Linked DNA regions of Ovis aries. The protein of the gene in region 1 interacts with the protein of each later gene in a biochemical or structural test. Links are inferred from orthologs where the notes say so. Each region holds a gene or a part of one and is shown in the gene's direction. Other genes may lie near its edges.

Evidence for each region.
Region 2: of the proteins of RIGI (region 1) and RNF125, one has a biochemical effect on the other in vitro, tested with the Homo sapiens proteins (3 studies listed by BioGRID and IntAct, with this or other methods). The link is inferred for Ovis aries from reciprocal best matches to the Homo sapiens genes RIGI and RNF125.
Region 3: of the proteins of RIGI (region 1) and RNF135, one has a biochemical effect on the other in vitro, tested with the Homo sapiens proteins (6 studies listed by BioGRID, with this or other methods). The link is inferred for Ovis aries from reciprocal best matches to the Homo sapiens genes RIGI and RNF135.

What each region holds. Positions count from the first base shown.
Region 1 is NC_056055.1:101,639,287-101,642,939, reverse strand, and holds part of RIGI (antiviral innate immune response receptor RIG-I), read left to right. Parts: intron 1-3,243; coding exon 3,244-3,401; intron 3,402-3,653.
Region 2 is NC_056076.1:25,485,997-25,489,649, reverse strand, and holds part of RNF125 (E3 ubiquitin-protein ligase RNF125), read left to right. Parts: intron 1-3,154; coding exon 3,155-3,262; intron 3,263-3,653. UniProt on the Homo sapiens protein: E3 ubiquitin-protein ligase that mediates ubiquitination and subsequent proteasomal degradation of target proteins, such as RIGI, MAVS/IPS1, IFIH1/MDA5, JAK1 and p53/TP53.
Region 3 is NC_056064.1:17,747,228-17,750,880, reverse strand, and holds part of RNF135 (E3 ubiquitin-protein ligase RNF135), read left to right. Parts: intron 1-1,630; coding exon 1,631-1,774; intron 1,775-3,653.

The sequences.
Region 1 (3,653 bases):
AAGTTCTCTTCTCCTTTTTAAAATCAAGTAATTAATTCATCGGGTATTGTGCCAGGTACTATGCTAGGTAAAGGAAGCACCAAGATTAAAGACAGTCTTGCCTTCAAGGAACTCAGCATCAAACAAAGATGCGAATAGTCACCCTGTAGCAAGGCAGGGTTACACACTGCTATTACGGGCGCACAGGGGAGCTTAGGCCAGGACTGGGCTGTAGGGAGGACTTCCTAGGGGAGGTAATGTGTGCGACAGATCTTGAAGTCAGCCAGGTTAAGAAGGAGAGGTGATCAAGTGAGGTCAAGAAGACAGCAGTTGCAGAGGGAAGAGAGAGCACAGTGAATTTTAGAATCTGCAGGATTTCATGCTAATTCTAACAGGTGACTAGTAGAAAGGAGAGTGGGGCTGGGGGAGAGGCTGGGGGCAGACAGTGAAGGTGTCCTGCAGGCCATGCTGAGTTTGACTTTTATCCTAGAAGTGGGACTTCCCTGGTGGTCCAGTGGCTTAGACTCCACACTCAAAATGCCAGGGGCCTGGCTTCCATCTGCAGTCAGGGAACTAGATTCCCACTTGCCACAACCCAGAGCCAGCGCTGCCAAATAAATAAATAAATATCCTAAAAGCAAATGGGAAGCAACGCACGATTTTGAACTGATAAGTTCTGTGATGAGAAATGAAGAGAGCCAAACTGAGGCAGTGGAGATGGGCTAGTGAAGGAAGCAGGCTTGTGCAAACAGAAGTGTTCAGATTTAAGAGCTCCCTGGGTTTGGGTGGGAGTGAGCGAGTGCGGGGCTTCTCTCTTGGCACCTGTGTGTGGACTGGCAGGTGTTACTCGTTCTAGAGCAAGGAGCAACTTGGGCAGGCACAAGTGAGCTTAGAGTTTCGGAGATGTTGAATTCTCGTCTCCAAGGTAACTTCTGCGTCTGAGCTTCTCTCACGCTCAGTCTCTCTGCTTTCTTTCACAGCTTGATTTCTAACAACTTATTCTAACAGCTGCTTTGCCTGCCTCTACCCTCTTTCCCGTCGAACCCCCATTACGCAGCTCGTCTTCCTGGGATTACCCACTTTATCTCGTCAGTATCCTGCTGGCGATCCTGGTTCTCCAGGCAGAGCTCTCACGGCGCCGCTCACCTGGCCGGGCGCGCCCCGCTCGCACAATCTGGTTCTGCTTCCCTCGCCAACTTTCCGCTCCTTGCCTATTAGCAGTTCCCTCGAACAAATTCATTCCCTTGTTTGTTCATTCAGTGCTGGGCTAAGTGCTCGGTGGTGGGAACACAGCGTGGACCCTCAGACACAAGCCCTGCCCTCACGGCATTTTCGGTTTGGCTACCGGCAGTGCCAAAGGCGGGTGAGTGACAGTGTCGAGGCAACACGGGGTGGGGGAGTGGTGGGGTGAGCGGTATTTCAGGCAAGGAGACCGGCGCCGGGAGAGAGTCTGGGGGCTTTCACTAGTCCTGAGAACTGTAGGAAGGAAAGTTAAGCAGGTAAAGGCCAGAACACAGAGCCCCCTGTGAGCCAGACTAGGAGTTTGGCTGGAGAAACCCACTTAACACTTGTGTTTTATTTTTTAAAGCATTTATTATTGTTATTTTTAACATTTATTTATTTGGCTGTGCTGGGTCTTAGTTGCGGCATGTGGGATCTAGTTCCCTGATCAGGGATCAAACCCAGGCCCCCTTTGTTGGGTGTGCAGAGCCTTAGCTACTGGACCACCAAGGAAGTCCCTCAAGACTTAAAAACAATACATGTATTTATTTATTTGGCTGCACGGAGTCTTAGTTATAACACGCAGGACTTTTGTTACGTCATTTGGGACCCTGGTTCTCTGACCAGGAGTCAAACCTGCACCCTCTGCTTTGAAGGGTGAAGTCTTAACCCCTGGACTGCCAGGGAAGTCCCTCCCTAAAGGCTTTTAATCAGTGGATTAGCATTGTCTCTCATCTGCAATTTTGGAAATTCCCTCCAGTTGTTGAATGGAGACTGGACTGGAGGGAAGGGGGAAGGAGGTAAGGAGATGAGGTAGGAGGAGATCATGGTATTATCCAGAAGCCTTAGGACATGGTCAGGGTTGTGGAGGTGGAGAAGGGTGGGCAGACATGGCTTTCTGCCTTCTTCTCGTCTCTTATACCCTCCCGCCATCTCTTCACCTGTTCAGATACTGTCAGCTGCTTATTGCCAGATGGCCTAGCTCATTTTTGCACCTACCTAAGTTCAGTAAATACCTGTTGATTACTCTAGTTTATTGATAGTCCCCTTGTTTGTAGATTGGGTTACTGCTACTTGTCTGGGTAACCACCTTTGTTTCTCTGATTAAAGATGAATGGGTGAGGGGATTTCCCTGGTGGTCCAGTGGTTAAGAATCTCCCTTCTAATACAGGGGACGAAGATTCAAACCCTGGTCTGGGAGCTAAAATCCCATATGCCGTGGGACAGCTAACTCCGTGTACCCCAGCTAGAGAAGCCCCAATGCAGCCACTAGAAAAGCCCCTGTGTGCTGCAGCAAAGACCCAGCACAGCCAAAAAAAAAAGGCAGGGGGGCAGTTAGGTTTTATTCCATGGCTGTTGTTTGGCCTCTGGGCTGTTTGGTTATCAGCTCACAACTGGTAGAGCTTGGGTATGGGACACATCTGGGTTTGAATTCCTGTGCTCCCTCTATCGGAGAAGGCAATGGCACCCCACTGCAGTACTCTTGCCTGGAAAATCCCATGGACGGAGGAGCCTGGTGGGCTGCAGTCCATGAGGTTGCTAAGAGTCAGACATGACTGAGCGACTTCACTTTCACTTTTCACTTTCATGCACTGGAGAAGGAAATGGCAACCCACTCCAGTGTTCTTGCCTGGAGTATCCCAGGGACGAGGGAGCTTGGTGGGCTGCCGTCTATGGGGTTGCACAGAGTAGGACACGACTGAAGCGACTTAGCAGCAGCAGCAGCAGCAGCAGCTCCCTCTGTATACTAGCTGTGTGACTTGGCGTGATGATTTCACTTCTCCGAGCTTCCATTTCCTCATCTATAAAGTCTATCTATGTCATGGCGTTGTGAAATGAAATTATAAATACAAGACATGTTGATTCTTGGTATGTAGTCGGTATTCAGTAAGCAGTTGTGTTTGTACGTAGACACACTGCTGAAAACTGTCTCAAGAGAAATACTCTAAGGAATCAAAATTAGAAAGCGAGACATGCTTAGAGCCTTAATGACTAGCCAGATGACACAATGGAAAACAGGTTTTTTTTTTTTTTCTTTTTCAGAAAACTTATCTCGCATTCAAAATAGGAATTTTGGGACACAGAAATATGAACAGTGGATTATCGCAGTTCAGAAAGCGTGCATGGTGTTTCAGATGCCAGACAAAGATGAAGAAAGCAGGATTTGTAAAGCCCTGTTTTTGTACACGTCACATTTGCGGGTATGTGGCTTCTTTGGAAAAGGATATTTCCATCGTAACACCTACTGGGAGCTGTGCTATGGCAGCTGAGAGAGCATCATTTAGGAACTTTCCCGGTGGTTCTTATGAAGCAAATGCCAAAAGCTATCCTATTCAACATCTGTCTTTGCTCTCTGAAACCTGGCCCTAGAGGCCGAGGGACAGAAACAAGGGCCGTGGGTCTGTGCTGTACCTCAGTATCCCCAGATTTGACCTCAGGGGTGGGGAGTATTA
Region 2 (3,653 bases), on another chromosome or scaffold:
TGCTAGCAAAATAATGCTGAAAATTCTCCAAGTCAGACTTCAACAGTACGTTTACCAAGAACTTCCAAATGTTCAGGCTGGATTTAGAAAAGGCAGAGGAACCAGAGATCAAATTGCCAACATCCGTTGGATCATAGAAAAAGCAAGAGAGTCCCAGAAAAATATCTATCTCTGCTTCATTGGCTATGCCTTTGACTGTGTGGATCACAACAAACTGGAAAATTCTTCAAGAGATGGGAATACTAGACCACCTTACCTGCCTCCTGAGAAATCTGTTTGCAGGTAAAGAAGCAACAGTTAGAACTGGACATGGAACAATGGACTGGTTACAAATTGGGAAAGGAGTACGTCAAGGCTGTGTATTGTCACCCTGCCTATTTAACTTCTATGCAGAGTACAGTTTGTGAAATGTGAGACTGGATGAAGCACAAGCTGGAATCAAAATTGCCAGAGGAAATACCAATAATCTCAGATATGCATATGACCACCCTTATGGCAGAAAGTGAAGAGGAACTAAAGAGCTTCTTGATGAAAGTGAAAGAAGAGAGTGAAAATGTTGACTTAAAACTCAACATTCAGAAAATGAAGATCATGGCATCTGGTCCCATCACTTCATGGTAAATAGATGGGGAAACAGTGGAAACAGTGATAGACTCTATTTTCTTGGGCTCCAAAATCACTGCAGATGGTGACTGCAGCCATCAAATTAAGAGACGTTTGCTCCTTGGAAGACAAGCTATGACAAATCTAGACAGCATATTAAAAAGCAGAGAGATTACTTTGCCAACAAATGTCTGTACAGTCAGAGCTATGGTTTTTCCAGCAGTCATGTATGGATGTGAGAGTTGGTCCATAAAGAAGGCTGAGCACCGAAGGACTGATGCTTTTGAACTGTGGTGTTGGAGAAGACTCTTGAGAGTCCCTTGGACTGCAAGGAGATCAAACCAGTCAATCCTAAAGAAAAGCAGTTCTGAATATTCATTGGAAGGACTGATGCTGAAGCTGGAGCTCCAATACTTGGATTACCTGATGTGAAGAGCTGACTCATTAGAAAAGACCCTGATGCCGAGAAAGATTGAAGGCAGGAGGAGAAGGAGATGACAGAAGATGAGATGGTTGGATGGCATCACCGACTCAATGGACGTGAGTTTGAGCAAGCTCCAAGTGATGGTGAAGGACAGAGAAGCCTGGAGTGCTGCAGTCCATGGGGTTGCAAAGAGTCAGACACAATCAAGCAACTAAACAACAACAACCTTAGGGAGAGTGTAGGTGAACACTTAAGGACTTAGGTCATGATCATCAGTCTCTCACTTTACCATTTCTTTCCCTTTCCTATTCTTACTCTCTCCTTCCTTATGTCAAATTCCCCAATTCAAGAAACAGAAGAAATTTTTAAAGTAGTATAGACTGTCATCCATTGTTTTGTAGTGTCTTTCTGGTGAAAGTCTCTTCAGTCACACAACTAAATTCTCTATACACCTGAAGTCTGATGCCTCCACTAGTTCTCTTAACATCAGACTGAAAAGAAAAACTACTTTGCTTGAAATTCCAGGTTTTCTGTAGATTTCCCGTCCACTGGGCTCAAAGCTCCTTAATCATGGGACCAAGGCTTAGTCATCTCTGTTCCTCTGACTCGATACGGGGAGAAGAGAAATCACATGAGCTGCTCAGAAGAGTGTATGTCGATTAGTACTGGTTCCAACTTACTGTTCCAAACTCTCCTCCCCCGGCTGCCCACATGCCCTGTCTCCAGCTTCACTGAGCATTTTCCCATTGCCTAAGCAGGCCTGGTCGTTTTAGGGTTTCCTGCCTTTTTCCACTTTGCTTTCCCTGCCTGTGGTGCTTTTCCTCTGCTATGGCTGACTCGTTCTTCAAGATTCACACCAGCTGCATGCAACTTGGCTGAATCCTTTCCTGACTTCTCAGAAAAAAAAGTAATGATTCCCTTATCAGTCTTGAACAGTTGTCTGTTCAGATCTTGATTACAGCACTTGCTATGCTGTACTGGCAGTATCTGCTTAGGTGATAAGAGTGGTATCCATTTGTGGGACTTCTCTAGGGGTCAAGTGGTTAAGACTCAGCTTACTGCAAGGGGTGCGCTCCGGATGCTGGTAGAGAGCTAAGATCCTGCATGCCAGGCAGTAAGGCAAAGAGAGAAAAAAAAGGCCGATCTAGAGAACAAATCCATGGTTGCCAGGGTTCAGGAGAGAAGTTAAGGGATAGTGCAAGGGAGTTTCTTGTAGTGAGAGAGCAGTTCTGTTTCTTGATTGTGTTGGTAGTTATATGACTATATGTATGATAAAATTTCATAGAATATATATACCCACCCCAGAAAATGAATTCATGCAAAAGCTGGTGAAATCTAAGTCAGATGTTGTCTAGTTAATTGCCAATTTCCTGGTTTTGATAATATGCCATAGTTATGTAAGAAGTAACATTTTGGGGAAGCTGGGTGATGGTGACATGTATGTCTGCATTATTTTGCCATTTCTTTTGAGCTTATAAATATTTCAAAATGAGAAGGTTTTGCAGATGGCCATTCATGGCTATTAAATTAGGAAAATATGTGTAAATACTAATATCTGATGCTGGTATATTATAATCTATATTGCTAGTGGTAATATAAAACTATAATCATGTATCATATATAGTGTATATTATGAACCATGAATGTTCATAACTTTGACCTTCTAATCTCCATTTATAGTCATTTATCCTAAGAAAATAATCCCCTCAAAAATGTAATTTGATATATAACTATAGATAATATTATTTGTAATAACAATAGCAATGTAGATAATGTAATTTGTAATAGCAAAATATGCACATACCTAAGAAAACTTTAGTATTGCAAGAGGTAGGTAACTAATTAAATTATGGCACACCTCCTGACTGTAATATTATTTAAATAATAAAGTGGTAAGTATGAAACAAATAGTTATACTCTTTATATACAAGAAATGTGTATGAAGAAAGAAGTGCAATTTTATTTGTTTATATTGCTTTAATATTTATATAATTCTAAAACATAATACCAAGGTATGGCCAATAGATTCATAAAATTAACTTTGTTGAATGGCTATTTAATTTTTTATCGCTGACACTAATGATTATTTAAATTCTTTCTTGAACTCTGGATATTGTTTATTTCCAGTTCTGTCCGCTTTGCCGTTTGGTACCTAATGAGAATCGAAGCAGCTTCAATGGCAGCTTAATAAGACATTTGCAAGTCAGTCACACTTTGTTTTATGATGATTTCTTAGTAAGTATATTTTCTTACTTCTACATTGTATTTTTATGCTGAATTAAGCTTACCTTTCTTAATATAAGAAGTCTTACTATAAGATTATAGAGAAAAAATGCATATGTAGCTGCAGTGTTGAGTATTAGTATTAAAGAAGAAACATAAAAACAGTGTTTTATAAATTGTGTTTTATAAATATATATATTTTATATAACTACTTTAAGAGTAGTTACCTGCTTTAGACAAAATCATTTTTTTTGTGATGTAAATAATTAGCCATTGTATAAAGACCCAGATTTCACTTTCCAGTTATTTTAATTTCTACTTTAATGCCTCCCACTGCTGCTGCTGCTGCTAAGTCGCTTCAGTCGTGTCCGACTCTGTGCGACCCCATAGACCGCAGCCCACC
Region 3 (3,653 bases), on another chromosome or scaffold:
CTATCTCTTTGGCTTTTCCAGAATGTCATACCATTGGCATCATACAGTGTCTAGCTTTCTCAGACTAGTTTCTTTCACTAAACATAATTAAGATTTGTGGCTTGACTGCTCATTTCTTTTTATTGCCAAATAATATTCCATTGCATACATGTCCCACAGTTTGTCTATTCACCTTTTAATGGACATATTGGTTGCTTCCTCCCCTCCCCCCCTTATAATTAAAGCTGTTTTCTTCTTTTTGGTTATAAACACAGCATTGGAAGTTCCCTGGTGGTCTAGTGGTTAGGATTCAGCGCTTTCACTGCTGTGGCCCAGGTTTTATCCCTGGTCAGGGGACTGAGACCCTACAAGCTGAGCAGTGTGGCCACAGATGAATAAATTCAGCATTATCCCTCAGGTCCTTAAAACTATTTGTTAGTATAGTGACTGAATATACTTTGCATTGGCTTTCAGATTACAATTGTCTGTGGATGGTAGGATATTGGATGATTTAAAATGTTTCTTCTTTCAACTCTGTGCATTTTCTACATTCATCATGATAAATGTGCAGTTTTATGGATAGAAAAAGCACCAACACTTATTTATAAAAGTTTTTAATTTGCTCAGGTGTCTAGATAAGGGCTCCACTCCAGAATTCCAGCTGCCAGAATGTTTAGGAGTGAGACCTGGATATACAAGAGCAAACAATGTTACCAGTGGTCAGCCACCTTCCTCTGAAAATTAGTCTGCATATGGCTTCTGAAACACATGCTATTTTGAGGGACATAAGTGCTTCTTAGAGATGAAAAATTAGTTCCAGTTTTTGAGGTTCCAGCATAATTTAAAAAGTGAGAGCTGTCCCCCCAAAGTTATTAAAAACTGTGGTTTATTTAGAGTAGAATAATGAAAATCTTGTATTTCTGTGGTTCTATGTAGGACCACTTTGGGAGGTAGTTCAGATTTCTCCAATGACTTCTGGGCCCCGCCTGCCTCTGATGATGGTCACCAGGTCTTGAGGTTGTTGCCAGAATATGTTGGTGGCCAAACTTCCTCCCACTCTCAGCCAGGCAGCTGCGCAGATGAAGCTCTGGAAGCGGAGTTGTTTAGCATTCTCATCTGAATGTTTCTTTAAATGTGAAGGACGCCGATAAACAAAAAGAGCTTGCATCTGTACAGCAATCTAGAATCTCCACGATCCTTTCATAGTAGATGCTTTTCACTGTTAAAAGGAACTAGGGGTGGTCGCTTTAATTTTTGAAAGGAGTGGTGAAGACGCAGGATGAGTCAGAGGTGAGAGTGGAGCTAAAGCCTGAGCTAAATGCCTTCCACTCAACGTACCAGCTGCCACCTGCACCAAATCTCCAGGCTCCCACCCTGCTTCCCCTCTGACTTCCCCAGTTCAAAATAACCCCAGTCTTTCCTTCATGCCTCACTCCCACCCCCCTGGCCCCATCTGATGGATGAACGCTGCTTCCCTGTGAACAACCAGCAGGGGGAGGTGGGAATGCGGAAAGTCCGAGGACTTTACCTCCTTTTCCTCTAGACATTTTTGTCACTTCCTTGCCCACTTCCTTTATCCAGTGTTTACGGCTCCCTCTGTCTAGAGCTGGTTCCCGGGTCCAGCTTTGTGTTCTGCTTTGCTCTTTTAAAGGTGGAGGCACCGAGGAGCGTCACAGAAGTTGACCGGGAGCTGGCAAAGCTGGTGGAACGGCTTATAGATATTGTCAGGAACCTTCAGAGTCCGAGACACCTCCCAGAATCTGAACCAGATAAAGAAGTGAGCATTCTGGCTATGGTAGGCTCATCTGGGAGAAGAAAGGATGTGCCAGGGGGTGGGGCTAGGGACAACTCCCTGGAACCGCTGGGAAGCAAGATGAATATGTTTGCCCTTGAAGGATGCGCTAAATCCCAATCTTTCACCTTGCTCTTCACTACCCAACACAGATAATTGGGAGTTTGGAATGTTTGAGGTGAGGTGTGAAGGCATCCATCCTTACCACTCCACATAACCAGCTTACTCCCCGAAGATCACCAGTGACCTCTATACAAATCCTCCAGACCTTCCAGCTTTTATTCTCATTGGCCTTTCAGCCACCTATGACATAGTTGACCACAGCATCATTCTTTTTTTTTTTTTAATTTTTAAAAAATTCTGTATGATTTTTAAAAGTTACACTTCGTTTACAGTTGTTACAAAATATCGGCTATGTTCCCAGTGTTGCACAACACATCCTCGTAGCCTGTCTCACACCCAGTAGTTTTTACCGCTCACTCCCCTGCCCCCGTGTTGCCTCTCTTCCCCTCTCTCCCCACTGATTTGTTTGGTTTTTAATATTTATATATATTTAATATATATATTTACAAAACACTGTGTAATAGCTGAATATATTTAAAAGAAAATCTGTTTTTGAAACCTGTTCTGCTATGACCGGAGATAAAACATCTTTTTCTTCCCCCTTTTTTCTTTTTAAAAAAAATTTTATTTTTGGAGTACAGTTGCTTCACAGAGTTGTATTTGTTTCTGCTGTGCAACACAGTGAATCAGCTACGCGAATATATATACTCCCCCCTCTCTCTTGAGCCTCCCTCCCATCCTCCTCCCATCCCACCCCTCTAGGTCATTAGAGAGCACCCAGCTGAGCTCCCGGTGATATACAGCAACCTCCCACTAGCTATTGCTAACCACAGATTTGTTTTCTGTATATCAGTGAGTCTGCTGCTTCTCACAACTTCATTCTTGAAGCTTTCTTTCCCCTTAGCTCTGAGATGCGAGTCTTCCAGTTTTCCCCCATGTCTCTCTGGCTGCTCTTTTCCGTCTGTTTGGCAGGTTCACTCTCCTCTGCTAAGCAGTGAAATGCTGGGATTCCTCAAGGCTGAGTTGTAGGTCACTGTCTCTTTCCCTCAGATGGCCCTGTCCACACCTGTGGCTTTCATTACCCACCCTGGGTACAAACGTAGCTTCAGTCTGGACCCTCCTCTGATCTGGTGTCTTCCTTCTCGTCTTTTCCTCTTGGCATCTCAGAGGCACATCACACTTAATCCATCCTGAGCTGTCTCTCCTCTAGGTACCCCGTCTGAGCAGCTGACCCTGTAACCATTCCAAATGCCCAAGTCAGAAAGCTGAGGATCATGTTGCCCTCCTCCATCACCTGCCTAAACATCTCTTGAACCTATTTACTATTCTGGAGCTTCTTAAAAACATCTCTAATCCAATCCTATGACCATCTCTGATCTGGATTTCTACCAAAGCCTCCTAATCACTCCATTCTGTTCCCTCTATAGAGTCACACTGCTTCTCATCACGGGGCCCATACCATGAAATGTTCTTCTTTTCCCCTGTCATGTAGGTCATGCCTGCTCATCCTTCAGACCTCGACTAGATTATCACTTCCTTGAAGAAGCCTTCACTGATTTCCTTGAACAAGTCAAGTTCCCTTACTAGAGGCTCTCATGTGTGTGATTCCATGTCCCTTTCTTTTGCAGCAGTTGTCAGACTTGTGACTTGATAGTGATTGACACCATAATTTATTGTCTTTCATTCCTGTTCCTAAGCACTGGACTCTAAGCTCTAGGGGGGCAGAGACCTTGATGACTTTTGTTCTTTTGTTCATTTTTGTTTTCCCAGGCCTGGCACAGTGCTGGGGACATAGTAAGTGCTCAGTAAATACCCAGAG